Canis lupus familiaris: one gene and its partners. The protein of the gene in region 4 purifies or fractionates together with the protein of the main gene of each other region. This does not show direct contact. Links are inferred from orthologs where the notes say so. Each region holds a gene or a part of one and is shown on either strand. Other genes may lie near its edges. The genes, in order: SMARCA4, TRIP12, RBBP4, EZH2, SMARCA5, FAM120A and PHF1.

Region 1 (4,288 bases), on a different chromosome or scaffold from region 4:
GAGGTCCACCCTGGCAATCAGTGGTCAGGATCTGAGCTGCTACAAATTATCCTCTGCCTCTTAGATCCCACCGCCACAAACATGGTGTTCTCACCCAGCCTCAAACTCCTTTTGGCCAATCAACCGTCCTTAAAGGACAGGGGTGGGCCTGCACCTCCTGAGAACTGGGGAGTGTATGGGACCTGGCACTACTGTACTCTAGCGAGTTGCCTACTCAGGAGGGCCTGACAAGCTTGGCCAGAAATTTCAGAAGTGAAGTGAGATCTGAGAGCAAGGAACAGCCTTCTCCTCAACCCCCTTCTTTCCTCCTCACCAAATACCTCTACCTTTCCTACTTAGTAAACTAAGGATTTTAAATTTTCAGCAAATTCCTTGGGCCCCCAAGGTCATCCCATGGTCTTGGGAGTTTCAGGGGGCTTTCATTGTTCAGACTGGACTCCTACAAGTCCTTCTGTGACAAGTCACTTGGTGTCTGGGCTGGGAAAAAGAAGATAATTAAGCACAAAACTGAAATCCATCTTAAACCAGACAGCCACACCTAAGCAGATGAGAAAAGTAAGGACAAGGGGACAGAGGGACAAAACAATGAAAACTCTACACGTATATCTGGAAGCCTAATCAAGGAATATGTGGCCCATGGATCACGTGTGTTTGGGGGGCTCTAAAGGAGGGAATGGAGCCTGGAAATCCAGGTAGGCAGCCCAAAGGAATGTGATGGGAAGTAAAACTGCTTTGGGTCAAGAATCAAAAACCTGAAAGCTAAGACATCCAGCAAGCTGCAAGAGGAAAACAGGTCCCCAGGGCCAATGGGTCTTGAGGTAACATGGCCACATCACCTTGATTTCTCTGAGAATCATCCCAATTGCCGAGCAGTCAAAACCCTCACACAATCTATGTCCCAGAAGCAGAACACTATTTAAAAATGAGGGAGCTTCATGCACACGAATGTGGAAGAAGATCCAAGATGAAACAGAGGAAAGAAAGAGGCATCAGTGTAAGGTGTGGTTGGCCCAAACCCCACTTTGCTAAGAATAAGACATTATGCAGGTTCAGCTGAACACAGAAGCCAGCCCAAAGAAAACTTGCCAAACCCTGGTTGGCAGTGGCCAGCAGCTGTCAGGAGGTAAATGATGGGGAACTGACACTTTCCACATCACAGATCTCTGGTGTTTTTCGTGTGTTTATTTTTTTACAATAACCTATTACTTTTGTAATCATAGTTTAAAAACAAACAAACAAACAAACAAACCAGACTAGATCAGAAAAATACCTTAGAAATAAAAACCCAGAAAAGATGTCTGGGAAGTACCTTTGTGGAAATAAAAAAAAGATGAAAGAATTTGAGAATTGCATTATTTTCTGTCTACTTTCAACTTCATCAAAATTATCATTTAAAATAGAAACATCTATCGACATTCAAATGCGGAACCAGACTGCTTAAGGAGTACATCTAGTTTCTTCCTTCACACCAACCTTTGCTTTTCTCTTACAAAAAAGAACAGAAGTCACAAGATGGATGGATCTAGAATATGATGCTAAATGAAATAAGTCAGAGAAAGACAAATACCATCTGATCGCATGTGGAATTTAAGAAACAAAACAAATGAACAAAGAAAAAAAAGGGGGACAACCCAAAAAACAGACTCATTAACTTTAGAGAACTGGTGGTTACCAGAGGGGAGGGATGTGAAGGATGGGTGGAATAGGTGATGGTGATTAAAGACTCCACTTAACCACGATGAGCACTGAGATAATGGATAGAACTGTTAAATCCCCATATTGAACACCTAAAACCAATATAACACTATATGTTAACTATAGTGGAACTAAAATTGAAAAAATAAAGAAAAAATAAAATAAAGTGAAAATAAAAAGAATGGTGGTGGTCAGCCACCGAAGCAGGACAGACTGCTAACACTAAATTGGGACCCTCTAAAATCTGCTTGCTGAGATTATGATTGCATTTGTTTTTTTCCTATCTTGCCTGAAAACCAGCATTATACTTAAATTTGGCCCCATGCTTTTTGGGCATGGAGAACTTTGTTCCCCTATGTATTTTCATTGGCAGACACACCATGGCCCAGCCATGGCAGGGTACTTAGGCTGATCATGGAGGCTGGGCATGATGCCTTCAGCAAAAGCAGTCTTATTTGTCACATTAAAACTACAAAACAAACAAACAAAAAAACTACAAAACAAGGGACACCTGGGTGGGTCAGTGGTTGAGCATCTGCCTTTGGCTGAGGTCGTGATCCCAGGGTCCTAGGATGGAATCCCACGTCAGGCTCCCTGTGGGGAGAGAGAGCCTCTCCCTCTGCCTGTTTCTCTGCCTCTCTCGGTCTCTCTTGAATAAATAAATAAAATCTTAAAAAAAAAAAAAAAAAAAAAAAACTACAAAACAAGGGGTGCCCAGGTGGCTCAGTTGGTTAGGTGTCTGTCTTTGGCTCCAATCATGATCCCAGGAACTGGGATGGAGCCCTGTGTCCAGCTCCCTGCTTAGCAGGGAGTCTGCTTCTCCCTATCCCTCTGCCTCTTCCCCCCCCCTCTAATAAATAAAATCTTTAAAAAAAATTTTTTTTAAATATAAAACTACAAAACAAGGTTTCTCCCCAACACTGTAGTAGGAAAACTGTCCACACCTGACCTGATGGTGAGAGGCACATGGTCTGTGAACCTGGAAGAGCGTACAGGATGAGGCATCTGTTGTCTTAGGTAACATACGGAAATAGCTTATTCCTGAGTGCTTCCCCAACACTAGCTGTTGCATGCTGGCTGCTGAGCATTTTCCTTGCAGATATAATTAAGTAGCAAAACCTTGTCCTACATTTAAAAAGGAATACACTTCAGAACCAACCAAACAAACAAACAAAAAAACCCGTCATGATAATTATAGTGTCTTATCCGCTCTACCTAAAATGTAGACATGTGAAGTCCTCTGTCACCAAGTACAGTAGTCCACCCCCCCCACCCCCCAATGCAGGTTTCGCTTTCCAGTTTCAGTTACCCAGTCAGCCCTGGTCCGCAAGCAGATGATCCTCCCACTGCATTTTGCCAGAAAACCAACAGTAGCTTAACACTACGTCACAACGCATATGTCACTTACTTCATTTCATCACATTGGCATTTTATCATCTCATATCATCATAAGCAGGGCGAGTACAGTACAATAAGGTCTTCTCAAAGACAAAGAGCACATTCGCCACATTAATACATTATATTGTCATAAGTGTTCCATTTTATTATAAGTTGTTAACCTGAAAAATAAAACTGTTGGTTAATTTACCTACAAAAATGTGTTCATTCAGGAGGAGCAGAGAACTACAATCCAGGACAAGTAAGCTATGGCAAAACCACAGGCAAGTCTGGAGAACAAAGAATGCTCTTTTCTGGAAGGAAAGGGGGAAGTCAGAAGGGCTGTTATGAACAAGAAGTCCACTGGGGCACCTAGGTGGCTCACTGGTTGAGCGACTGCCTTTAGCTCAGGTCTGATCCCGGGGCCCTGGGATCGAGTCCCATATCCGGCTCCCTATGGGGAGCTGGCTTCTCCCTCTGCCTATGTCTCTGCCCCTCTTTCGGTCTCTTATGAATAAATAAATAAAATCTTAAAAAAAAGGGGATCCCTGGGTGGCGCAGCGGTTTGGCGCCTGCCTTTGGCCCAGGGCGCGATTCTGGAGACCCGGGATCGAATCCCACATCGGGCTCCCGGTGCATGGAGCCTGCTTCTCCCTCTGCCTGTGTCTCTGCCTCTCTCTCTCTCTGTAACTATCATAAATAAATAAAAATTAAAAATAAAATAAAATAAAATAAAATCTTAAAAAAAAAAAAAAAGCAGCCCACTGGAGTAAATAGGGAGTTTTAAGTGCAGTAGTGTTTCATTGGCTGGGCTGTTGCTGGGGCAGAAGAAAAGCCTTTCCAAAAAAAAAAAAAAAAGAAAGAAAGAAAGAAAAGAAAAGCCTTTCCTCCTCAGCTGGGATAGTAAAGTACTATGACCTGCAAGGTGACTTGAAAGACAGGTCTTTTTCTATTGGGTCTACAACTGATAACAAGCAGTGGGGTTTGAGTGCTCCTCCTTCTGTCCTCCTGATTCTATTAAATGAAGTTTCCTCACATTAATGTTCATACTGCTAATCTCTTCTGTGCATTTATAAATTAAATTTTACCATAAGCATGTATGTATAGGAAAAACAGTACAGATAGGGTTCAGTACTATCCATGGTTTCAGGCATCCACTGGGGTTCTGTGTCCTCCACCAATAAGGGGGTCTACTGTATCATTTCTAGCACTGGGA
Region 2 (3,500 bases), on a different chromosome or scaffold from region 4:
CCTTCCACTGCTTCACATTTGCACAGTCTGGATGTCTTTGTAACTGGCATTTTAACTGGTGTGTGTTGAAAAATTTTAAAGCCTGTGATCCTCTGTTGAGAGAAAAGCTCAAGATAATTTGTGAAAAAAAGTTATTCTATTATTTTCAAAATCAACATAATTAATTCAAACCAAAGCTAGACACTACAAATTGCATTTTATAAAGGCAAAAAATAAGCACTTACCAGTTATGTAAAAAGCCAGCAATTTGAGTTAGCGAAAGTTGTTATAAAGAAATAAAAAGGGTGTGCATGCATGCATATGTAAACATTAAATCATCATTTGATCTCTGTCATGAGAAATCCCTGTGAGCAGAAATCCTTGACCACCAAGATTTAACTATTTCTCCAGAATAAAAGTTCCTCAACCATTTGAGCATGCTTACTTATACAGTATTTTGCCATTGCCTAACTGAATTCTATGGCTTTAAAAACAAAGGGAAAAGCCCTGTTTTTTGCGTTCAAACATCTCTGCTATAGAATTACTTTAAAAACAAACGTTTAAAATTTACTTTGCTAAAAAAAAAAATAAAATAAAATTTACTTTGCTATATTCTTTTGAATGAAGCCAGTCTAAACCTGGTAATATTTAATTGCTCATTTCTGTAAAGGGCTGACAACAGTTAAGACACACACAGACAAGCTTAAAAAGCAGTTATCTGTAAGACTCCATAAGGCATGCAAATAGGGGTATGGGAAAGAATATTCCATTAGACAGGATATAGATATATGTAAACCTACATTATTTTATACAAATCTGGGTAAAAATGAAAAACCTCATTGTTTTCTCAGGCATAGATGAAAATGGCCCCAATATTTCAAAAAATATTCCAGGACAGTATAATGATCAAAATTGAAAACCACATTCCATATTAATTTTCAAAGGCAGAAAAAACTCTAGCCCACATAGATCTCTTTATCTGTCCAAAAATGCATATTGTTTTAATAAAATGTTTTCAAAACATCATATTGTGTATTTTAAAACCAAACTAATTTCTTGTTTTTATAGGCTCCTAGTCATAATTTTCCAGAAACCTTGTAACATCAAGTAAAATACAATAATAAACTATTACAGTGAATTCTTTCCATAAGGCTTAAGTTCGGTAAAACTGTGATATTACGGAAAATATACAAAGTTTTAATGAAACAAGAAAAGTTCATATTCAACACTTATTTGTTAAAACCCTTCAAAGGTAGAACCACTTACATCACATAGAAAAATCACAGTATTGCACAGAACGCAATTTTATTATCCAGATCAACAAAATTCACGGAGAGAAGAAATAGACATTAAAATTTATCAGTTTTAGGAACACTAAGGTCTATCACAGGTTGCCAACATAGCCGCTGGGATAGGTATTTCCAGAACATTAAGTTCAGAACATGGGGAGTGCTTTTAAAAATAAAAAGTCCTTTTCTTCAGTCATCATGACCAAATGGTCTTTGGGCAGATGAAGAGGTTACTAGACCTCTTGCCACTCTACATCAATAAAATTATCCCCACACTCCGATGGCAAGGGCACGCCCAGGCAGGGATCCTTACCTGCCTCCTGTCCCGTTCCCACTGGGGAAGTCATGTACTTTGACTGGAAACTGTTCCATCTGGCTGAGGCAGTTGTTCATCTTGTGAACTAATGCCAACAAAGGCGCATTACCCACTGGTTCTACTCTTCCAATGGGCTCTTCTCCAGGAAGCTAAAGTTATAAATAAACCAACAGGTTAAGCAAGGCCTATTGAAAATGGAACACTCCTCAACAAGAAAATTTAACAGGCAATTTTACAAAAGAGAGCCATTCATCTATTCTCTTTTATCTTTTTTGATAGATTTGGTTGGAATGATTATTTCCATATAAATTACTTCAGAGAGAGACTCTTTGTAGAGGTCCACAATCCCTTATTCGGAATTCCTCAATCTAAAAGGCTTGAAAACACAACATATTTAGTGGTGAGACCTGACTCCAAGAGACCTGAGGCCATCTGCAGTCTGTATCTTTCCTGAGCAGAAATATTCATATGCTTTGCTGCAAAAATATTTAACGAGTATAGAGTGCTACTTAGAATCCACTGGGAATATCAGGTAATATATATGTACTGTATTATAGAACTTTTGAAACCTATTGCCCCAAGGAGTTTCAGTTAAGAGATTACAGACCTGTACAGAATCCTAAACATGGTATAAAACTATATCCAGTATTGCTGCACATTTCATGCACTGCAAACAAATATCAAATCTGCTTTAGGTAGCCAAGTTAAAACAATGAAAGAAGTGCTCAAATACCTACAAACCTGAAAGGCCAGGCGAAAGGTTTCACTAGCATGCAGAAGAATCAGCCTTAGCCTTACTACACAGAGGATCCTGAGTATGCCTTCTCTCAAGTAGTTTTGTAACAAGTAGAATGATGTAAAGTCACTAATATCCAAGAGTAGTTACATTCTTGCTCTCACCCACTGAGGCTGAAGGAAGGGGAGTCTCTGAGCCTTCTGGTGTTCCAATCCAGAGTATAAATGGTGATTGAGTACTCTCAAATAGAACTGTTAATGCTGTATTTTATATGCAAAATGGAGAAGTATATACCCATGCTATTTTATACCTATAGCTATGTTTACCATATCTCCCTATACGTACATATTGTGAACTACAACATATTTAAAAACAAATACTGAGAATAAAATACATTCACAAGTGAAAGGCTATTAATGGCTGGTCTTAAAGAGAAAAGACTCAAGACACGCTAACCATGGAAACTGTGGCACCTGTGCCATTAAATCACCATTCCATTGCTTTACTAATATACTTGATATTAAAACAACAACAACAAATAAAAAACACCAAGGAATCCAACTGTATCACAAGCTAGAAATCTGAAGTATCCTGACTAGCATCTAATTGAAATTACTGTGATGAAAATACACACATCAGTGACCAATGATTTCTTTAAGGTGATATAGGAGCATTATGAAGTAACTTACTGGTGAAGAAAAAAATACGTGAAGGAATCTCTTTAATCTGATCTCTCGGCTCACAGCATCCTTTTCACTTTTAGATGTCAAATAAAGTAACAGCTGCTTCACAAATCCACTATGTTGGATTTCAAATGATGAAACATCAGACTCTGAGACTATGCTACGGATTTCTACAAGGCACTCAGCTCCACCATCCACCTGAAAGAGTTGGGAACGGTTTTTCCATATTGATTTAAACAGTCCTAACTAAATGTGGAGTTCACATTTCCTCAAAAAAGAATACATTTTGAACATCTTTAAAACAAAACAAAAGAAAATGAAGAGAAGGCGGAGGGAGTGATGCATTCTTGGTGGATCCTTGGAAACTATGATCTTACATATATAATCACAAAATGTTAGTATTTCATGGAAGAAAAACAGCTTGCATACCGCTAACATAAAAAAGAACTCTCACATTCAACCAACAGTAAATAAATAAAGACGACAAAGAATGAGAA
Region 3 (4,257 bases), on a different chromosome or scaffold from region 4:
TAGCAATCTTTAGGGATGATAGCTAAATGTTTAAATAGAAGATCAGAATATGTACTATACTTTTGTGTTTACTATTATCTCATTTACTCCCCAGTTAAGGAACTATGGTGCCATGAGAGATTATATAACTTGCCACAAGTTATGAAGCTGTTCATGGCAAAACCAGGTCTTTTTTTTTTTTTTTTTTTTTTTAAAGATTTTATTTATTTCTTCACGAGAGACACAGAAGAGAAGCGACTCCTCGCAGGAGCCGGAGGCGGGGCTTAATCCCGAATCCCGGGATCACGCCCTGGGTTGAAGGCAGACGCCCAACCGCTGAGCCACCCAGGCATCCCCAAACCAGGTCTTTTTACTAAAAGCACGATCCAGGTAAAACACCAAATTACATGTCCCCTACTCAGCTAAGTCCTCTAACCTAATGATACTCTAACCACCCCACTGTTGGGAAACACATACGGGCGACCACCCGGCAAATGCTTGAAAATACGTTTATCTTTAGAATGAAGACACTGGTAAAATTCCCACGAGGTAATGGGACTAGGTAAATGTAGAAAGAATTCAAGGAACCATAAAAGTGGCAGCCCAGTTTTCTGACTCTCAGGCCAGGTGGCTGTTCCCTTCAGCACTCCCGGCTGAAGCACCTCAGGGGCAAAGCGGAAGGCGAGACCGGAAGACCTGGGCAAGGCGAAAGGGCATGAGAGAAGTGAGCCATCTACTCACACTCGTACTTCCGAATGGCTGGAGGATACTTGGCCTTGATCGCCTTCTGCTCTTCAGTCAAATTGTAATCTCGAATATCTTCCTCTTCCTGCGCCATAATTGCCGCACTGGACACTCTACTTCCGCCCTTCATTAGCTGGACTTCAGCCCTGATTTACAACTTCCGCTCTAGACTCCGCCCCTTGGCACGCGCCCTTAAAGCACCAGGACCCCATTCTCGCAGATAGACTTTATATGGTTAACACTTCTGTCCTAGGACTCGCTGCCGGAAGCACATCTTTAATAGGCTTCGGCCCTATTTCTGCGTTTCTTCATCCGTTCTAAGAACAAAGGAAACATACACACTGGAGGACGTGGGAGGAGGGAGACACTTTAGAACTAAATACCCGCTTGTCTGGGTGGTGAGAAGCCTTTTCTTTTTACCTCACAGAGTCGATAACTACACCCGAAGCCACCCTAGATTTCTCATCTGAGTACTTTTAAAGTGTCGGGAGCTGCACAGCTTTTAAGAAAATGGCTGCCCCCTGGAGAGTGCGGACTAAACCTCTCACGTGACCCGACGCGCGCACTCCCACCGGGTCCGCGCGCGCGCAATCGTAGGAAGTCGGCTCCCGGCCGTGTCGGGGCAGGGGAGGGGCGCGCACCTCGGCACCGCAGAAAGCGACTCTGCGCGTCTGGATAGGCTGCAAACGCGGCTTCCCCGCCCACCCCGCCGTTCGGGACGCTGCGATTGGCCGGTGTTGGCGCGAAGGTGCGCGAGTAGGCCCTCACGCAGGGGCAGCAGGAAACAATAGAGGCCGCGCGCGCAGAGCGAGCGCCTGTAGCCTCCCCGCCCCTCCCGCAGCGCTCGACCCCGGGATCCCCCCGGCTCGCCTGCCCGCCATGGCCGACAAGGAAGGTAAGGGCCGCCCCGGGAGGGCGGGGGGTGCCGGGCTGGCGCCGCGGCCTCGACAGGGCCTAGCAGTGAAGGCAAGCCCGACTCTTGAGTGCTGTCCCCACCATCGAAGGCGTGAGGAGAAATCGCCCCGCGGGCGGGCTAACGGCGCGCCAGTTCCTCCGACACGGAGGCCGGTGGCCGCGGTGTGGAGCTGGTGGGGGGGCCCCGGCGGGTGTTTGGGCCCTCCCCGCGCTCGCTGTCGGCCTGCCCGCCTCTCGCGTTCTGCGTGCGCTGCTCCCTACCCCGGGGGCCGGTGCGCGGGCCTCCGCGCGGGTTCCGTCGATTCAGCGGGAACGCGAGCGTGCTCCCGAGGCCCGGCGCCGGCGCCCGAACAGCTAACGGGAGTGACGCGCCCCGCTAGCCCGAGAGTAATTGCGGGCCCGCGAGGCGGGGAGGGGTGCAGGTCGCTCCGCCTCGGGGACATTTAGACATATCTGCTCCATTTCAGAATCTTGACTTAATAAGCAGTGCCGGTAGCTTTGGAAGCGTTGGCTCGGTTTCCATTTGTGTTCGCTAACTTAATTTGTTTTTTAACTTTTTAGCAGCCTTTGATGACGCAGTAGAGGAACGTGTGATCAACGAAGAGTACAAAATATGGAAAAAGAACACCCCTTTTCTTTACGATTTGGTGATGACCCATGCTCTGGAGTGGCCTAGCCTAACTGCACAGTGGCTTCCAGATGTAACCAGGTGATGTGAATCTCTTGAACGTTATCTTGTGTCCTCCTCAGCGTTGATTTCTCACGTTGATTTTTCCGTGTCTTCCCCCAGTCACCCGAAGAGGGCACGTAATGATAACCTATGGGTGATGTTTTTTTCCTAGGCCAAAAAATAATACAAAATGTAAAAATAGTTTTGCAATGTACCTGATAAGAGAAAACTTGTTTTCTTTTCCTGATAACGAATTGAATAGCCTGTTATAATTACAGTTGGAAAATAATGTAAAATGTGTCAGTTTTCAAAAAAAGCTATGATTTCAGTTCTTTCAGCAAAATATTTGAATTGTAGGTAGTAGCTGGTTAATATAAAGAGGTATATGACATGGTACCTGCCTTCAAGGAGCACAAGTGTAATTGAGGCCCATGTAAACTAATAATTACAGTAACCTATGCTAAAAGCAGTTTTACAGAGATACTTAGGATATTTAGAACTAAGAACTGAAGATGGGGTGGTTTGGGGGTTTTATATAAGGGAATTATGCATAGTGAGAGAGAAATCACATGTAGGGAAGGTCTTAAATGTGACAAGCTTACCTCTAAGAAGGTAAGCTTAATAGTACTTAATTTACTTTCCATTTGTTTAGTCTGCTAGGTGCTATAAATTAGGGTGTACAAGTTTAGATGGACACCTTCCCTGCCTTGATTTCTTGTGTATATAGTATGGTAGATTACCACCCCCCTTATTTGTAGGGAGTATGGCCAAAGATCCCCAGTGGGTGTCTGAAACCACGGATGGTACTGAACTCTGTTATGTTTCTGAACATACATAATTGTGATAAAGCTTAATTTATAAATTAGAAACGGTAAAAGATTAATAGAACAATGGTTATATAGCTTTGTGCAGGGGGCAGTATCGTAGCCAATGAGGTTTATCCGAGGCACGATTATTGCTAATAAAACAATGGTTATAACAACATACCATAATAAAAGCTGAGTGTGATCTCTTGCTGTCAAAATGTTTCACTGTAATCACCCTTCAAGTAATATTGTTGAGAAAATGCCTGTGTGATGAAGTGAGGTGAATGACATGGGCATTGTGATGAAGTATTAAGCTACTTATTTACCTGATAAATCAGAAGGGAGATCATCTACTTCTGGAGGGCATCGTGGTTGACTGTGGGTAACTGAAACCATGGATGGGGGTTTTCTACTGTATTACAGTAAAAAGTATCATAAGAGTAGCACAGTTAAAATGATCAAGGGAAGGAAAAATCACCTCAACTTAGGGTATCATGAAAGGCTTCCAGGAGAAAGTGACAATGCAAAGATGAAGGTGAATTTAAATAATTAAAGGTTTATCAAGACCAAAGTGCCTGTTGGAATAATGGGTTTTCTTTTATAAAATTGCTTCACCATTCAGAGTAACATTTAAAAATTATATTGTGTGCTGAATAACTAAATTCCTTCGAAATTCATCTCTTTCGAGTTCAAAATATGGTTATTAGGCTATGTTTCAGCTCAACAAGTAATAGAAATTTTATTAATTACTTAAACAGGTTGCTACCTTCACAGTGGCATTAAAAAATGAAGAAGTAGAGTTGGAAGCTTTATCATGATCCATGTTCACCTATGGGTCATCAGAATTGCTTGAGCTCGAGGAGCCTGGGTGGCAGTCTGTTAAGTGGCTGACTCTTGGTTTCAGCTCAGGTGGTGGTCTCAGGGTCAGGAGATCGAGCCTGTCACTCTGTACAGAAGACTTCTTCTACCCCTCCCCACACACTCTACTCCCTTGGGCTTGCACTCACTTGCACTCTTTCTTTTTTTTAAGAAAATATATTTATTTTATTTGAGTTCAGGTTAAGTGGAGTCATTTCTGTCAGGAGTTCTCAGTGATAGTCAAATCATTTAGAAACTGGTGGCAGGGGGGATCCCTGGGTGGCT
Region 4 (3,500 bases):
CCATCCCAAGGGCGCAGAGCTCTAGACGCTTCCTCGGTATCCACGCAGCTGTGCCCTCAGTACCCGCTCATGGCACTATGCTCACGCCCCACTGCGCTGACGCTTTCTGGGGGCCAGAGGACCTGGGGGCCACCTCCAGATGCCCTCCACGTTCTGTGCCAACTCTACTATGACTTAACTTCCATGATCCAGTTCTAACCTGCCCACAGACCCGCGCAGGCCCCTAGCACACAACCCCTTAATGGGGCCCCATAAATCCCTGTGGGGTAAATGCGTTTCCTAAAAAGGATACAACAAAGCAAGAGCTGCCATGGCCTTGTTTTGGCTTCCACAGGCTTTTGGTCAGCAATTTAAAACAGGAACTCAAAAATAAATAAATAAATAAATAAAACAGGAACTCACACAAGTCATCAAAACGAAATACTTACACTCTGAGCTACATTGACAAAACTTCTCACAAAAATTTTGTGCTATCACACAAGGGCACGAACTGTCACAAGGCTGCCGTGGATGGTCACAGGGTTGATAGTTGTAAACGTGGTTAGAGGAGCCGTCTGCGGAAGGAGAGCAGCGCGGGTCAATCCAGAGGCGAGGGAACACGACGCCCGCGAATCCGGCCTTCCCCGCCACCTGCGGGCTGCGGCACGTCCTCCACACTGTTTGTTCCGAGTGACTGGAGACGCCACCTCCCACCCCCAAGTGCCGGCCAAGGCCAGAGCACTGTCACCCCGGCCCCCAAACACTTCCGTAACTGACTGGCCACCCCGCGCCACCCACCCGGAAGTTACTCCGCAGACAGCCTCCCTCTAAATGGGCTTCGGGTACTGAAGTCAATTACATCAGAACATCCCAAACGCTAATCCAGTTACTATTCTCAAACAAATGAGCAGGCATTTTTAAGTTAATTATGAACGGAGGATGCTAACCCTTTTTCAGCTGTATCTTTCTGCAGTGTGCCGCCCACAACCTGCAAGACACAAAACAGAAGCCATCCTTGTGAGGCTAAGGAGTCGGGTCACGGCACAAACCCAACAGAAGCTGCCTGCGCAAGTCAATGCGTGCCCTGAACATAACCGCACTTTGGATCCAAGGACAGCCGGCCCCCGGCCGCCGGGTTAGGGCCACAGACCCCTCCCGCCACCCAAAATCTGCAAGTAACTTTTGACTCCCCAGAACTTACCTACTGCTAGCCTGTGGCCCATAAGCCCTACTGATGACTGGTTAGGACGGATTTTCTACGTCCTACGTATTCTATACTGTGTTCTTACAATAAAGCAAGCCAGAGAGAAGAAACTGTTGAGAAAATCCTGAGAAAATACATTTGCGGTATCAGAAAACCCATGTTAAGTGGCCCCGTGTTGGAGGCTCAGCTATGACCACGAGGAGGACTCACCCCAACCTGGGCTCCTGGGGATGGGAGGAGCCTGAAATAGTACCGTTTCTCTAATTCAGGCATCTTTAACCACTGACAGAGGCTGTATGATCAAAATTCAACCAAGAAACTCAGCTGGACCTACCACAGCTAAGTTCTTCCGGTTCTAAATTAGCCACCTCCCGAAAGAAAGGGGACATGAGCGGGTGCACAGCTGCGGAGTGCAGTCCTGCACCCCTAGTCGCGGGTGTGGGGGGGCAGGCGGTGTGGTGGGCAGCTCCTCACACAAACCCAAGCGGCCGCGCTCCCTCCTCCCTCAGCGCCCCCACTTCCAGGGGCGTCAGCGGGGCATCTGTCAAGAACAGACGCCCGGGTGGCCCAGTGGTTGAGCATCTCCCTTTGGCTCAGGGCCTGATCCTGGAGTCCCGGGATCGAGTCCCACATCAGACTCCCTGCAAGGAGCCTCCTTCTCCCTCTGCCTGTGTCTGCCTCTCTCTGTCTCTCGTGAATAAATAAATCTTAAAAAAAAAAAAAAAAGAAGTGACTCGCATGAAGAAAATTCAGGCTCCTGGGACTCCAAGCAGCTTGGTGCTCCCATCACCCTCAACACCGCACGCAGGGCACGGGTTCGGTTCGTGCAGGTGGGGCCTGTGGTCAGCAGCCAGTGCAGAGGTTCCCTGAACTGAAGGGCAGCGCGGTGAGCGTCGCTGTCCCGACTCCCCGCACCCCAGGCCACTGCAGGCAGAGGAACAGACTGGCGAGCGAGCGTGTGCGGCCACATGACTCTGGCATCCAACCCACAGCAGAAGCCACCCACCCAGCCTTACCGGTGTTTCCTCTTCTTCTTCCTTGGGGGGGTGTCCACGTCCTCGGCCGGGGCTGGAGCAATGATACTCGATTCTTTGACACGGAACTCATACACCTAACAAGAGGTGTGGTCACAGGGCTGTGAGCACTGGCAGCTCCGGCAAAGCGCCCCAGACCCGCCCCTGCTGGAAGCTTCTCTGGCCTCTCCGTGCTGCCAGGGGTGGGGGTGCTACCAGGGGCTGGGCCACTCTCAGTAGGCGCCCGAGGCTGACCTGACCCTACTGGGCTGCAGACTCACCCCGACATATCCATAGTCGTTAGAATCGTTTTCATTCAGGTCCCTCCCAGTGGAAAACACCACCAATTGACTTCTTTTTCGGGACATGAGCAGGAGCACAAGAGGAACCGAGAACGGTCTGTTTGGACAGTGACTGCTCATCCCCCATCTCAAGCTCTCAAACTGCGGTGTCAGACATGCTCACCTGCCGACAAGTCTTGGTCCCGATGAGCCTGGCAATGGCACAGAAATTGTCATAGTAGGTACCGATGAGCACCCGGAACATGGAGGCCTCAGCGCCGCTCCACTCCACGTTCTCGGGAGGCTCAATGTTTGGCTTCATCTTTATTGGCGTTTGACACCGAGAATTTGCTTCTGGAAAACCAAAGTGAAGCACTGGTCAAGAAAGGACGACTAGAGTCAATAAGTAAACCTCAGGGCTGTGCTGAAGAAAAGAGCAGGAAGCGACTTGTGCTGAGAATAAACTCAGCCGGGAACCATCTGCAAGTCTCCCGTGGAGCTCAGGGCTGGTTCCCTTTGACACAACCTTCTAAGATGCTGAGGGGGCGCCTGGCTGGCTCACAGGCGGGGGGCTCGTCAGGGCAGCACGTGACCCTGGATCTCGGGGTCCTGAATTCAAGCCTCACGCTGGGTGTAAAGCTTACTTAATACAGAAATTTTAAATCAAAATGAAAGCTGAGGAGTATCTCCCGTTGCTACTCAGGATGCGAGTTGTGGGTTGAATGGACATGGAAAACCCCAGCAGCAAAACACTGGTCGGGAGTTCCCACGGGCTCTTCTAACCAAAACCACCCCCAGCACAGCCACAGGATTGACCAGAACGATGCCCTGTCTCAGAGAGACGGAGAAGGACGACACACCGCATCGCTGACCTTCCAGTAGCCGGGCAGGCGGTCTGCACAGGCCAGGCTGGGGTTGGGGTCGGAGTGCGGGGTCGGGGTGAGGGCAGAAGGCAGCTCCACACCCCCGAGGGAGTTCTCTGGCTTCGGCCCTCTCCTCACAGCGAGCACTAACCCAGGGAGC
Region 5 (3,500 bases), on a different chromosome or scaffold from region 4:
TGCCACTCTTAGTTGTAAACTTTGAAATATCCTGTTAATCCATCATTACATAATGAAACCTACTGCATACCATATCTCAATAAAAAGTATTCTTTTTTTAAAAAAAAAGATTTTATTTATTCATTCATTCAGAGAGAACGAGAGAGAGGCAGAGACACAGGCAGAGGGAGAAGCAGGCTCCATGCAGGAAGCCCGACGTGGGACTCGATCCCGGGTCTCCAGGATCACACCCCAGGCTGCAGGCGGCGCCAAACCGCTGCACCACCGGGGCTGCCCAATAAAAAGTATTCTTATATGGGCTGAATAGTATCATGCTGGAATATTTGAAAATCACAATTAGCAAGTTTTTTTTTTAAATATCAAGAGATCAAATCATAATCACAAGAAGTTCTGATAAGCAGAAAGACATTAATACTAGTACTCCCCAATCAGCTTTTTCTTCGAAAAGTGAAGTGGGGGAAAAAAGGTAACGTGTAAAAAAAAAAAAAAAAAAAAAAAAAAAAAACCTTCATATTGCCAAACTTTATCTAGGGACTAAATAAATTAAATTTCCTAATCTAAAGAACTGAAACTCTTCAAAGCTTATTTTGATCACAGAAGAAATTTAAACATAAGAAAACTAAGATCTTCAATTGGTAGGAATTATAGGTCAACCCTATAATTTGTGTTTTCGAAAACACAAGCATCAAAAACAAAAATATCAAGAAATATTTTCACTTACACAAAGCTTCACTTTTTGTATTCCAATCAACTTGTAATAAAGGAGTATGGATAAAGATCAAATTGTTCTCTTGGATCTTAAATGCTTGTGTATCACAGCTTTGCATCCCTAACAGAATCCACCAACATCTATGAATTTCAAAGTTAGGATGTATCTACAGAACATGTTTCTTGATTTGAAAGCTACCTCACTACTAACAAAATGGTCTGTCTTACTGAAACTACTTCCCCATTGGACAGAGGGGGAGCTGGTCAGACAGAAAGCAGTTCTATGATTTCTCATTATTTTTAATTACATCTCTTACTCTGCAAGACAGTAATACAAAGAGATACACCTGAGGCTTGCTCTTTGACTAATGCCTACAGAGCTATTAGCACAAAATTTTGCTCTAAAATTTAAGCCCCACCCCCATGCTCACTTCAGCAGCACATATACAAAATTTGTACCCCCAATAAAACCAAAAACCTAAGTAAAAAAACTTAGTTTTTCTAAGTTGATTATAATTTTCATTTTTCAAAAATGTTTCACAGATAAAAATAATTAAAAATACTATAAGGCCGGTGTTTTTCTAAAAACATGGATGAATATGAGAGGGAGAAGAACTCGCCATTACATTATCCAGGAGAAACCTTACTGTTTGGCAAGTTCCAAAGACTTTCGCATGTAAACACTTCACTCTAATAGTTAATATACTTCTTGGTCCTAGATAAGTCACTTCTTAGTTACATGAATGGTATATAAGTGACTTGCCTCTACTTCTTATGCCAACCTCAAAATTGCATGAAGACTAAATGAGATAATGGATACAAAGTATTTAGCACCTTGCATGGCACAAAGTAAGCACTTAATAAATAATTATTAATAAAACTAATAATAAGCCATCATTTATTGTCTTCACATATTCAGAGGTGTGATTAACACTATGGTTGGCATTAAGAGGATATAAAAGAAATGCAACATTCCTTTACACAGAAATTAAAAGGCAGTTCACAAAATGAAGACACACAATATGGAATCATCAGCAAACAATATTAACAGTCTCTCTTTATAGACAGATAAAAGAACATGCTCAAAATGCAAATTTGAGAATGAAAGAAACCTATATGACCCTGAGGTAATTGAAGGGTTTTTTTTCTATTTTTCCATTTTACTGGAATAAATACTTTATTTATACTTTAATAAATACTTTACACCCCATCACCAACCTTATTATAATAAAGCTTCATGAAAACATAAATGTCTTCCTTAAAAGCTAATCTGGCATGAGAATTTAGTTCCCTTCAATCAACCCAAAATAAAATCCCACTCTCAAGCTCTAGTCCTATTTACATAAACATTTATTCTGAGCATCCCTCTCACTAAATTACAAATTAACTCCATGAAAGTAGGGACACATGCATTGCATTCTTTCGCCATTTTATTCTCAGCACTAAGACCAATCAATGCCTGGAACCTGGTGCTGTTAAGTAAACAGGTGTAGACTAGAAAACAAAATATAACATCAGATTCTTTGAGTTTCATCTTTATGTCTTCATTTTACCCCAGAATAATTAACAGAGTGCTTTTCAGTACATATAAATGATACTTACCACAGCTATATTTAGTATGTACCACACTGAATGCTGGGTATTTTATATACATTATCCCCTTTAATCCTTAAAAATCCTGAACTTCAATTCCCTTTATTCCCATTTAACAGATGAGGAAATAGGCTCAAAAGGTTTATAAAAGACCTAACTGGCAAAGCCAAATGCAAACCTCAATCTTCCTCAGCCTAAACCCATCCTCTTATGAAAAACTAAAGCTTACTATTTTCTGGAATATAAATATTGTTCATGCCGCTAGCTTGATCCCACAGATGGTCAATAATAAGAACCTCCAGAAAATCTAGGAAAAAAACATTTGTCAATACAACTTGGTAATTTTTTTTTACAATTCTAAGACTCACCTTGTTGAATGACTATTGAATCCAGTCTGAGTTTCATCTCAGCACGTTCCACTATTCTTTCTTCCACAGTGTTATCAGTTATGAAGCGGAACACTCTGACTGTCTTGGTTTGTCCAATTCTATGTGCTCGGTCCTAGGCAAATTACCATGTTATTTTGAATAGTTAAAAATTACACAAATAATACTTGATTGTGTATACCAAAACGGAAAACTAAAATATTCTCAGGTGTGAAAGTTTTTAATGTAACAAAACTATTCTAAAAATAGATTTTTATTAGATTAATATTTCTCAGATCCTTGCAGCTTCTCTGTTTCAATCAAATTAATTGATTATTTCACAAGGAAAACTTCTAGGTTATACTGATATAGAAGTCACAGGTTTCTAAGAGTGCCTCGGTGGCTCAATCCGCTGAGCATCCAACTCTTGATTTTGGCTCAGGTCATGATGCCAGGTTTGTGAGATCAAGCCCCAAGTCAGCCTCCACACTTGGCATGGAGTTGGCTTGTCCCTCCCTCTTCCTCTGCTCCTCCCCCTACTCTCTCTCAAATAAATAAAATCTTAAAAGTAAATAAATAATAAATAAAATTCACACATCTCCAGATAAGACAGATAAAATTATAAATTTTAAGGTGGATGATAAAAAATTGTTTAAATCTTTTTTTCTTAGTTTTAAATTCAAATTGTTTTCCCACCTAAATCATACATCAAACTTCATTGCTATTAGGGAAAGAAGTAACATGAAAAAAGAACTCCACAAACAATATAAAAATCCTAGTTTTCAAATAACTACATACAAGTAGTCAAATTAATTTGAATTCCGTTTAACTTCT
Region 6 (3,500 bases), on a different chromosome or scaffold from region 4:
GTGTGTCTCTGAAGGCAGAAGCCGGTCAGGGTGGGCTGGGGGACCACAGTGAGCCGAGCACAGCCCCTAGCCCAAGTGGTGCTGCACTGCAGATGGGCTGTCAGGCCCCGCTTCTAGGGAGGGGGCTGCCTTTGCACCTCACTTATTAGGTGTATTTCATCAAAGCAAAGGTTTCCGGGGCACCTGGGGGTATAGCCGGTGGTGGAGTGTCCATCCGACTCTGGGTTTCTGCTCAGGTCATGAACTCAGGGCTGTGGGGTCAAGCCCCATGTCAGGATCCCCTCTCCCTCTGCCCACCCTACCCCCCCACAACTCTCTCTCAAGTCAAATAAAATAAATCTTACAAACAAGTTTCTAAGATGCTGAGTTCAGCTTAGAGAGGCAGGCAGCTCAGTTTCTCCTGGCCGATTACATCTCCGTGTGTGGGTTATCAGTGCGTGAGACACAAAAGAGGCCTGATGTTTGCACAGTGGGGGTGGAAATGCAGACTGATTAAACGTCCTAACTGTAGAAGTGGGCCGACTGGCATTCTTTAAAGATCCTTCTCAGGGGAAGTTCATCAGGCCCCAGGTCCTAACATGGTAGATCCAAAGGGGGAGGAAACTCTAGCTCTCCCATGCAGAAGGTACTCGGCGCTGTCCCTATAGGCTGAGCCTTCGGGGAAGAGCTGGTCAAGACGGTCCAGGAGGAAAAAAAGACGGCACTTTTCTTCTTAAATCCTAACTATTTCTCTAAATAACGTTTTGTAATATAAATACCACTAGCAGTCGTGGGGCCACCCCGTGCAGCTGTGACTAGACCACACTCTTTAGCACTGACGCTGCCGGTCCACCTGGGCTGAGGAGCTGGCCAGGACCTCAAGCCACCAGCCCCACAGACCAATCCCTCGGATGCGCGGCACTGCCCCACATTGCACGTTACCTGAATCACACCCTGGTTTTTATAGCCTCTGCCGTAGTACCGTCCACCTCTTCCAAACGTTCTGATCACTGGGGTAGAAATCACTCCCCTTGGACGCCTGAGTGGAGAGAAGGGGACAGGACACACAGGCTTGAATCTGCCCAGGCAGCTGAGACATTTAAAACCATATCGATCTCACACAGTAGCACTGGTCTATCAAATCAGTCACATGGGATTTATTCCAACATTCTGAGAAATTGATCTTATTTTGGGGCCCACATCCAGTCATTCAATTCTTAAGCCAAAATGCTTCAAAAAATTGCTACTTTTTTTTAAGTATTGAAAAATGGTTAATTGAATAAAGTGTGGATAGTTATTTAACAATGGTTGAAATAAATCATAATGCCACATATTATGGAATCCTATGTAACCAAAAGAACATCAAAGAAATGTATCTAATGAGTCAGAATTGAGAGAGTCAGAATTGAAAGAACAAGGGGTGGTTTTCTTATTAACACAAGTACATTTTCAGAACGTACCCTCTTGCTGGTCCTCCAACAGAAACTACCTGTAGGGGGAAAGGCCCGCGGCCCCCGCGGCCCCGTCTGCTCCCAGCCCAGTGGCCGACCACGGTGCCCGCGATTTCAAGCTTCCCTCCCTGAGAAGGTATAGGTTGGATTCCTGCACAAAAAAAAAACAGAACAAATCTTGACAATCACGGAATTAAAAATAGCAAAATGAAACAAGCAAGCCAATTTCTGCTCAATTGTGGCCTGTATTTCATATAAAACCCCTCTCCCTGGTTTTGTGAAGACTCTTTATTTATCACGTAAAGTATCTATGTGCACCTCATTTGATTTCAATGGTTTTAAGTGCTGTTAAAAGTACACCTGAGAGTGAAACAGTTGTGCTGGCTTCTCAAAGGACCTATAACGACTGAAACGACACATTACAAATGCACAGCTTTTAGACTGAAAAAGGTTCCACGAGGTGTTGCCACCGGATGCTCGCGGTGAGCCGTCTCCAACATCACAGTGGACGCTGGCAAACTCAGCACATTTTCTCCTTGGGGAACTGCTTCCAGGCCTCCTGCCTCCACCACGCATCATACAAATCAACCGGTCAACGTGGCTGGTATTTCTCCGTGTGCTGTTTAATTATCCCCTCTCTTGGGGTCACACATACCCACTGTATTCACTGACTTCTGCTAGCTATGGACCGCCTGCGTTTTCTAAGGTCTTCTGACTTAACGAAGAAAATTCTCAAATAATTAACTGCTAGGAACACTTCTGATAAAAACCAAACAGAAGAGAACCTCAAGTTTCTTATCTCTTGGCAGATGGGAGTGGATTATAATAAACTCTCCATCAGGACAGTTCACTGCCCAATGAGACCTATGATAAGCCTCACGTTCCTAAACGCCACGCTGAAAACTATGAAAACAGATGAAACAGGTTTTGGTAATATGTTTTATTTGACCCAACAGACCCAAAATAGTATCATTTCAACATAAGCTTAATATAAAAACTATTAGTTAGATACTTTGTGGTCTTTTTTTCCATGTTTGGTCTACAACTGGATGTGTGTTTTGTGTTTGGGGCTCAGCTCTGCTGAGGCAGGCACAGGCCGAGTGCTCCAGAGCTAAGCTAAGGTGTCTGCCGGTCAGTCCCCAGGACAGCTGAGCTTCAGACACAAGATGGGGGAAGTTATGTAGCAGGATCCTCTTTGCCATTTCAGTCTAAGAAACTACTTCTGCCCCACAGCGTCCACAGCCACCAGCCCACCCAGAGCATCATCCCAAGGGCACGCTGATGTGAGCGTCCACACGGGTGCAGGGAGCTGAAGCCGACGGTGAAGCAGAGCGCGAACTGCACACTGTGTGGCGTGGCAGGAAGGAAAGCACCGGTAGGAGGCAGGGAAGGGCATGCGGGGCTGGTGAGGGGAGACCTGGCCCCAGAGGCCCTGCAGCGGGGGCTGCGTTGGCCTGCGAGTCTTTCCTGCTCCCCCAAGGAGCTGAGCCGCAAATACATTCCTGGGCAGGAGAGAAAGACTGTCCTGTCCTAACGTTGCTCACACATGTATGTGGAGAGCCCTGTACCTGGGTGGGTGGCCGGGTCTCACTCCGCAGCCCCAAAGTACGGGACATATGACAGGTTACAAATCACACCCTCTAATTACAGAAAATCACAAGACGTTATTTCAGAAGTAAACATTAAGCCTTTTTTCTCCCTCGTGAGGCTAACACATACAAGAGGAGAAGCAAAAAGAAGTTTAAAATAAACCCATTTATCTACATGGTATTAGAGCTTTCTTTAAAAATCTTTCCCATGAAGTGGTCTGTGGGCAGTTTCTGTGCCAGGAATCCTGCCACGGCCTCAGAACCTTCTATACCAGCTCATCCTCTTGTCGGGGAGCAGCCGCCCATGAGCACCGTCTGCAGCCTGTTCCACCACAGGAGGCGACGCTGGGGCTGGGCACATGGGGCCGCGTGGACACCCAGAGGCCCCCTGGAAGGCAGAGAGCTGGGGTGGGGGTGGGGGGGGACGGGGCCAGGAGCGGGCCTAGCAGCAAGGATGTGGTGCTGGGCTGGGACAGCGGAG
Region 7 (4,168 bases), on a different chromosome or scaffold from region 4:
GTCAATACAAAAGCCTGGAGAGCCCAAGGTGGGAGGCTGGGGGTGCTGAGAGAGGAGCCATGTGGAGGTGGTGCCCACTCACCAGCGAAGCTGTAGCCTCCTGACCTTCTCAGGGCCACCCCGACACACACAGCATTCGAACTCGTAGAACCTGGAAGTGGGCGAGGGGGAGAGAGCGTGGAGGACTTATGAATAAGGATGGGGTGCGTAGGGGAGGTGAGCTTCAGAGGCTGGGGAGACATGGAGCTGAAGCAGCATGGGGGCCTGAGAGGGTAGAGCAGGGCAAGAGTATTCTCCCTTGGCTCCCAGAGAGCCAGCCCCATCTCACCTGTCCCCGTAGAGGAGCGGCTTGCTCAGACACTGGGTGCAGGCCTCATGGAACCACTGCAGGCAGCTCTGGCACTGCAACATTTTCAGGTTCCACCTGAGAGGGAACACAGGACTGGTGACCTCCAGACACTGCCCCGACCTGAATGGCCCCAAACCCTACTCACCACCTACTTCTGCTTTCTTCAGCACTCCCTTCATCCTATTTTTTCTCCTTCATTCCCCAGGATCCCCCCACCCACTCCATCATTCATTCCCTCCCCACCACTCCTCCACCCCTGTCCCTCATTTACTCACTCCCCAGGGCCACCACAGTAACAGTAGCTCTGCTGTCGGTTGCTCAGATGTCCAGCGTCCCAGTCTAGCCCCTTTAGTCCATATGGCAGTGACAGCTTCATGCCCAGCATGGCCCGGGCATAGGGGCCCTTCTTCAGTGCACCCCCCCTCTGCAGGGAGGAAACAGGCCACCTCAGACGGGTAGGGAACAGGAAGGCTTGGGAGAGGTGGTGGGGGAGGCTCCCACAGAATGGTGACCTTACCTTGGTGGCAATGGCAAAGACACACTGGCGACAGACCCAGGATGTGCCCTCTCCCTCTCCAGGGGCTGGGGCTCTTGGAACGTGGCAGTCCTGGTGATAAGCTGAATAATGATAATATTGATGGTAGACCATTTATTGCACAATATACCTGTGTGTGCTAGTGACTGGGATAGGAGGAGTCTGGGCCACCTCATTTCATCTTTGACTGTGATCTGGCTGCAGTAGATAAGTTACCCTTATTTTACAGGTGAGGAGACAGGCTCCTAGGGGCTTGGGAATTTGCCCAAGGTTTTATGGTTAGTAAAGGTGTATTTGAACCATCCTCTGTCTACAAAGCCCACACCTCCTGATTCCATGGCTATTTCTCCCTGTGCTGGAAGAGAGGTTACAGAGTTGAGCAGACTGGCCAGAGCAGTGGCTTGGGGACTCAGCCAGGACAGGTGGCCTAAGGATCAGTGGTGGAGGGAAGACTTAGAGGCAGCCTGGAAGGTTCAGGGCAAGCTAGACCATTTAGGTATCCTGCCCTCTCACCGTGGCGACACTTCTCACAGCTGACCAGCCGGTTTCCAGGGACCACAGTCTCAGAGCGACAGACACAGCAGAGGAGTTCCTCCCCGGGGAGGGCAGCTGTGAGGGAACAGTGTTGTGGGGCCTGTCCTTAAGCCCCCTTTACATCCCCCAAGCCAGGTTTCTGCTTTCCACAGCATGCATATATTTGGGCCTCTAAGGTCTCACCAGGGCTAATGTCTTTCCATAGAACCAGAAACTGGGAATCGTCCTCAAACTGGACCAGACACACCTCCCGGGAACTGTCCACCTGGAATGGATGAGCACAGGAGATGAAACAGGAATCGGAACTACATAAGGAGAATGGGGGGAAGGTAATAAGTCAGAAGTCAAAGGTCTTACTTTCTTGATGGTCCCCAAGTATAGCAGTCCATCCGTCCACCTGGCCAGCACATCTTGACCCTCCCAAAGTCGAGGCCTGGGGCCTGAGGTGGGAGCAGGGGAGGCTGGGTCCCAAAGTGGGGGGGCACCAGAGCGGCTCAGCCGGGGGGGCTGTGCCATTGCATCCTGGGGGGGGGGGCTATCCAGAAGTGGGATGGGAGAAGGTTATGAATGTTGAGAAACTGTCCCCATTTTTCTATGCCTCAAGGACTCAAGCAGCTGTGCTACCAGTCTCCAAATATGAAATACCTGGATAGGAAATCACACAGCACCCCTCCCAAGCTTCATGACTCCAGCTTTTCCAACTCTGGTGACTGGCTCTCCTCTCCCTAACACCCCCCACCCCCCAACCTAGTTCTCTAGTTTCCCAGCTTCCAGAGCTCCCCTGGGATACTGTATCCTGGCCTTGAGATTTTAGGAGGAATGATGGTTGCAGAAGCAAAGGTTACCATTCAGTTTCTACTGTCACCTTCTGTTTAGAGATACTGTAATTGGGGTGTTCTGCTACCCAGAGAATGTGTTTTGGGAGCTTTTCTGGAAATGTTTTCCAAATTAGAAACGGCTGCCTCCCCGGGCCCCTGTGTCTCCAGAACAATAATCCCGATGCCAGGTTATGGCAGGTCACCCTCAAATACGGGGCTCCCTGTCCCCCGGGTTAGATAACTTCCTTGAGTGCCCTGGGAGGGGGGCGTGTCCCAGTCCCGGTCTCTACTCCCCAGGACAGCGAGTCCGAGAGGGGACTTGAGTCAGCCCAGCGCGAGCTGATGCCTGGGCGGCGAGGCTCTCCCGCCCGCGCCCTGCGCGCCGACCCCCGGCTCCCTGCCCCCCCCCACGGGCGCCTCCCGCCGCCTCCTTACCAGTGACAGCTGGGGCCGCCGGGAGCCGGGCAGAGGCAGACGTGGGAGACCGAGGCGAACCCCCCGCGCGGGGAGGGCACGTCTGGGCGTCGGAGGGCGGGCAGGCAAGGGCCGGGGGGTCCCCAGGCCCAGCCCCTCCGTCCCGGCAGCTCTGGGGCGTATGACGCAGCAGCCAAAGCAGCGGCAGCGGCAGGAGGAGGCGGCGGGGGGAAGGAGGGGAGGGGAGGGGAGGGACAAACCGGCTCGGGGGGAGGGTAGTGGGAGGGGAGGACTGAGGGGAAGGAGGAGCCGGGGGGGGGGCGGGCACCACCTCACCCCACCTCCCTCACCTCCAACGGGCCTGGAGGGCGCCGAACGGGTGGCGGCCTCCCCACGGCTGGGGCGGGTGGAAAGTCAAGACCCAGTGCGAGAGGGAATCCCTGCAGCCCCTTCCTCGGAGGGAGATCCGCCCTCGGGGCAGCAGGGAATCCCCCCCTTCCCCGCAGCTGGTCTCCAGCCTGGCCCCCGCCCCATGCCACATCCGTTAACTGCCCCCCCAACCTCCATGGTCACTCCAAGTCCCGCCCCTCGGCCCCAGTTCACGACCCCGCCCCCCATTCACCCGTCCCGTCGCCCCCGCCACGCCCTCCTCCCTCGAGTGCCCCGCCTTCCTCCCGCCTTTGCCCCGGCCCCGCCCTCCCCGTGGTAAGTCTCCCCCCGCCACACCGCCGCCGCGCTTCTGCGCATGCGTGACCCCTCCCGCGCGCGGCACCTGGGTGGACCGAGCCCCTCCTTTGCCGGGCGGTGGCCGTTGGCGGTTGGCGCGAGCGAGTCAGCGGGCGTGCAGCCCACCCAGCGCCTGTAGGGCGGGTACACGGACCGGGAGAGCTAGTAGCGAGGCGGTAACGCCGCCGAGAGCCAGCCAATGGGCAGCGGGCGGGCCGGCCCCAGTTCTTCGAATGGGACGGCAAGGAAAGAGCGGGAGGGAGAGCCCGCAGTTTGCAGGAGGGCTCGCTGGCCCGGCCTCTGGACTCGGGCTTCCACTTTCCCGCACCCACCAGACGAGCTCTCCGCGTGGAGCTGGGTGGCCTGCGGCAAACCAGTGACGGCGGTCGGCCAGTGGGCACATCTCCTAGAGGCGGACAACCAGGGTAACCATCTAGTCTCCAGGAGATAGCCAGGTAGAGAAAAGCTGAAACCCTTGCTCTGCAAAACACAAATACTCGGCAGAGTAGACGATCCACAGTTCCCATTTTTACAGATACGGGCCATTGTTAACAAAACCTTTATTTAAAGAAAAAAAACTTGTTCTTTATTTGATAGACCCAGGTCACAGAGCGCCCCTCCCCCCAACAAAGCATCCTTCAGCGCCACCCCCACCCCCCCTTCCCAAACAGAGGATCTGGATCTGTCTTCATTTCCTGTTAGCCTGGGCCGTACCAATAACACACTGGTTCACCTGCGGGCAGAGGTTTTAGAATAAAAATATTTTGTGAGTAACCAAAATAACAGTTTTCT

The links.
Region 1: the proteins of EZH2 (region 4) and SMARCA4 purify together in Homo sapiens (affinity purification with mass spectrometry; 4 studies listed by BioGRID, with this or other methods). This does not show direct contact. The link is inferred for Canis lupus familiaris from reciprocal best matches to the Homo sapiens genes EZH2 and SMARCA4.
Region 2: the proteins of EZH2 (region 4) and TRIP12 purify together in Homo sapiens (affinity purification with mass spectrometry; 3 studies listed by BioGRID, with this or other methods). This does not show direct contact. The link is inferred for Canis lupus familiaris from reciprocal best matches to the Homo sapiens genes EZH2 and TRIP12.
Region 3: the proteins of EZH2 (region 4) and RBBP4 purify together in Homo sapiens (affinity purification with mass spectrometry; 12 studies listed by BioGRID and IntAct, with this or other methods). This does not show direct contact. The link is inferred for Canis lupus familiaris from reciprocal best matches to the Homo sapiens genes EZH2 and RBBP4.
Region 5: the proteins of EZH2 (region 4) and SMARCA5 purify together in Homo sapiens (affinity purification with mass spectrometry, with the first as the bait; 3 studies listed by BioGRID). This does not show direct contact. The link is inferred for Canis lupus familiaris from reciprocal best matches to the Homo sapiens genes EZH2 and SMARCA5.
Region 6: the proteins of EZH2 (region 4) and FAM120A purify together in Homo sapiens (affinity purification with mass spectrometry, with the first as the bait; 3 studies listed by BioGRID). This does not show direct contact. The link is inferred for Canis lupus familiaris from reciprocal best matches to the Homo sapiens genes EZH2 and FAM120A.
Region 7: the proteins of EZH2 (region 4) and PHF1 purify together in Homo sapiens (affinity purification with mass spectrometry; 15 studies listed by BioGRID and IntAct, with this or other methods). This does not show direct contact. The link is inferred for Canis lupus familiaris from reciprocal best matches to the Homo sapiens genes EZH2 and PHF1.

What each region holds. Positions count from the first base shown.
Region 1 is NC_049241.1:50,658,908-50,663,195, forward strand, and holds the start of SMARCA4 (transcription activator BRG1), read right to left. Parts: upstream 2,801-4,288; 5' UTR 2,768-2,800; coding exon 2,640-2,767; intron 1-2,639. UniProt on the Homo sapiens protein: ATPase involved in transcriptional activation and repression of select genes by chromatin remodeling (alteration of DNA-nucleosome topology).
Region 2 is NC_049246.1:42,284,206-42,287,705, forward strand, and holds part of TRIP12 (E3 ubiquitin-protein ligase TRIP12), read right to left. Parts: intron 3,202-3,500; coding exon 3,010-3,201; intron 1,734-3,009; coding exon 1,582-1,733; intron 108-1,581; coding exon 1-107. UniProt on the Homo sapiens protein: E3 ubiquitin-protein ligase involved in ubiquitin fusion degradation (UFD) pathway and regulation of DNA repair.
Region 3 is NC_049223.1:68,051,763-68,056,019, reverse strand, and holds the start of RBBP4 (histone-binding protein RBBP4), read left to right. Parts: upstream 1-1,457; 5' UTR 1,458-1,602; coding exon 1,603-1,618; intron 1,619-2,199; coding exon 2,200-2,347; intron 2,348-3,208; exon of another isoform or gene 3,209-3,369; intron 3,370-4,257. Other genes in the region: ZBTB8OS (protein archease), read right to left, coding at 721-853. UniProt on the Homo sapiens protein: Core histone-binding subunit that may target chromatin assembly factors, chromatin remodeling factors and histone deacetylases to their histone substrates in a manner that is regulated by nucleosomal DNA.
Region 4 is NC_049237.1:1,636,664-1,640,163, reverse strand, and holds part of EZH2 (histone-lysine N-methyltransferase EZH2), read right to left. Parts: intron 2,832-3,500; coding exon 2,662-2,831; intron 2,295-2,661; coding exon 2,200-2,294; intron 968-2,199; coding exon 927-967; intron 555-926; coding exon 429-554; intron 1-428. UniProt on the Homo sapiens protein: Polycomb group (PcG) protein. Catalytic subunit of the PRC2/EED-EZH2 complex, which methylates 'Lys-9' (H3K9me) and 'Lys-27' (H3K27me) of histone H3, leading to transcriptional repression of the affected target gene.
Region 5 is NC_049236.1:43,050,807-43,054,306, reverse strand, and holds part of SMARCA5 (SWI/SNF-related matrix-associated actin-dependent regulator of chromatin subfamily A member 5), read right to left. Parts: intron 2,803-3,500; coding exon 2,670-2,802; intron 1-2,669. UniProt on the Homo sapiens protein: ATPase that possesses intrinsic ATP-dependent nucleosome-remodeling activity.
Region 6 is NC_049222.1:98,994,421-98,997,920, forward strand, and holds part of FAM120A (constitutive coactivator of PPAR-gamma-like protein 1), read right to left. Parts: intron 1,582-3,500; coding exon 1,440-1,581; intron 1,019-1,439; coding exon 922-1,018; intron 1-921. UniProt on the Homo sapiens protein: Component of the oxidative stress-induced survival signaling. May regulate the activation of SRC family protein kinases. May act as a scaffolding protein enabling SRC family protein kinases to phosphorylate and activate PI3-kinase.
Region 7 is NC_049233.1:2,998,984-3,003,151, reverse strand, and holds the start of PHF1 (PHD finger protein 1), read right to left. Parts: upstream 2,801-4,168; 5' UTR 2,672-2,800; intron 1,954-2,671; 5' UTR 1,935-1,953; coding exon 1,776-1,934; intron 1,684-1,775; coding exon 1,602-1,683; intron 1,494-1,601; coding exon 1,398-1,493; intron 968-1,397; coding exon 867-967; intron 774-866; coding exon 625-773; intron 425-624; coding exon 329-424; intron 152-328; coding exon 83-151; intron 1-82. Other genes in the region: kinesin-like protein KIFC1, read right to left, coding at 4,065-4,109. UniProt on the Homo sapiens protein: Polycomb group (PcG) that specifically binds histone H3 trimethylated at 'Lys-36' (H3K36me3) and recruits the PRC2 complex. Involved in DNA damage response and is recruited at double-strand breaks (DSBs).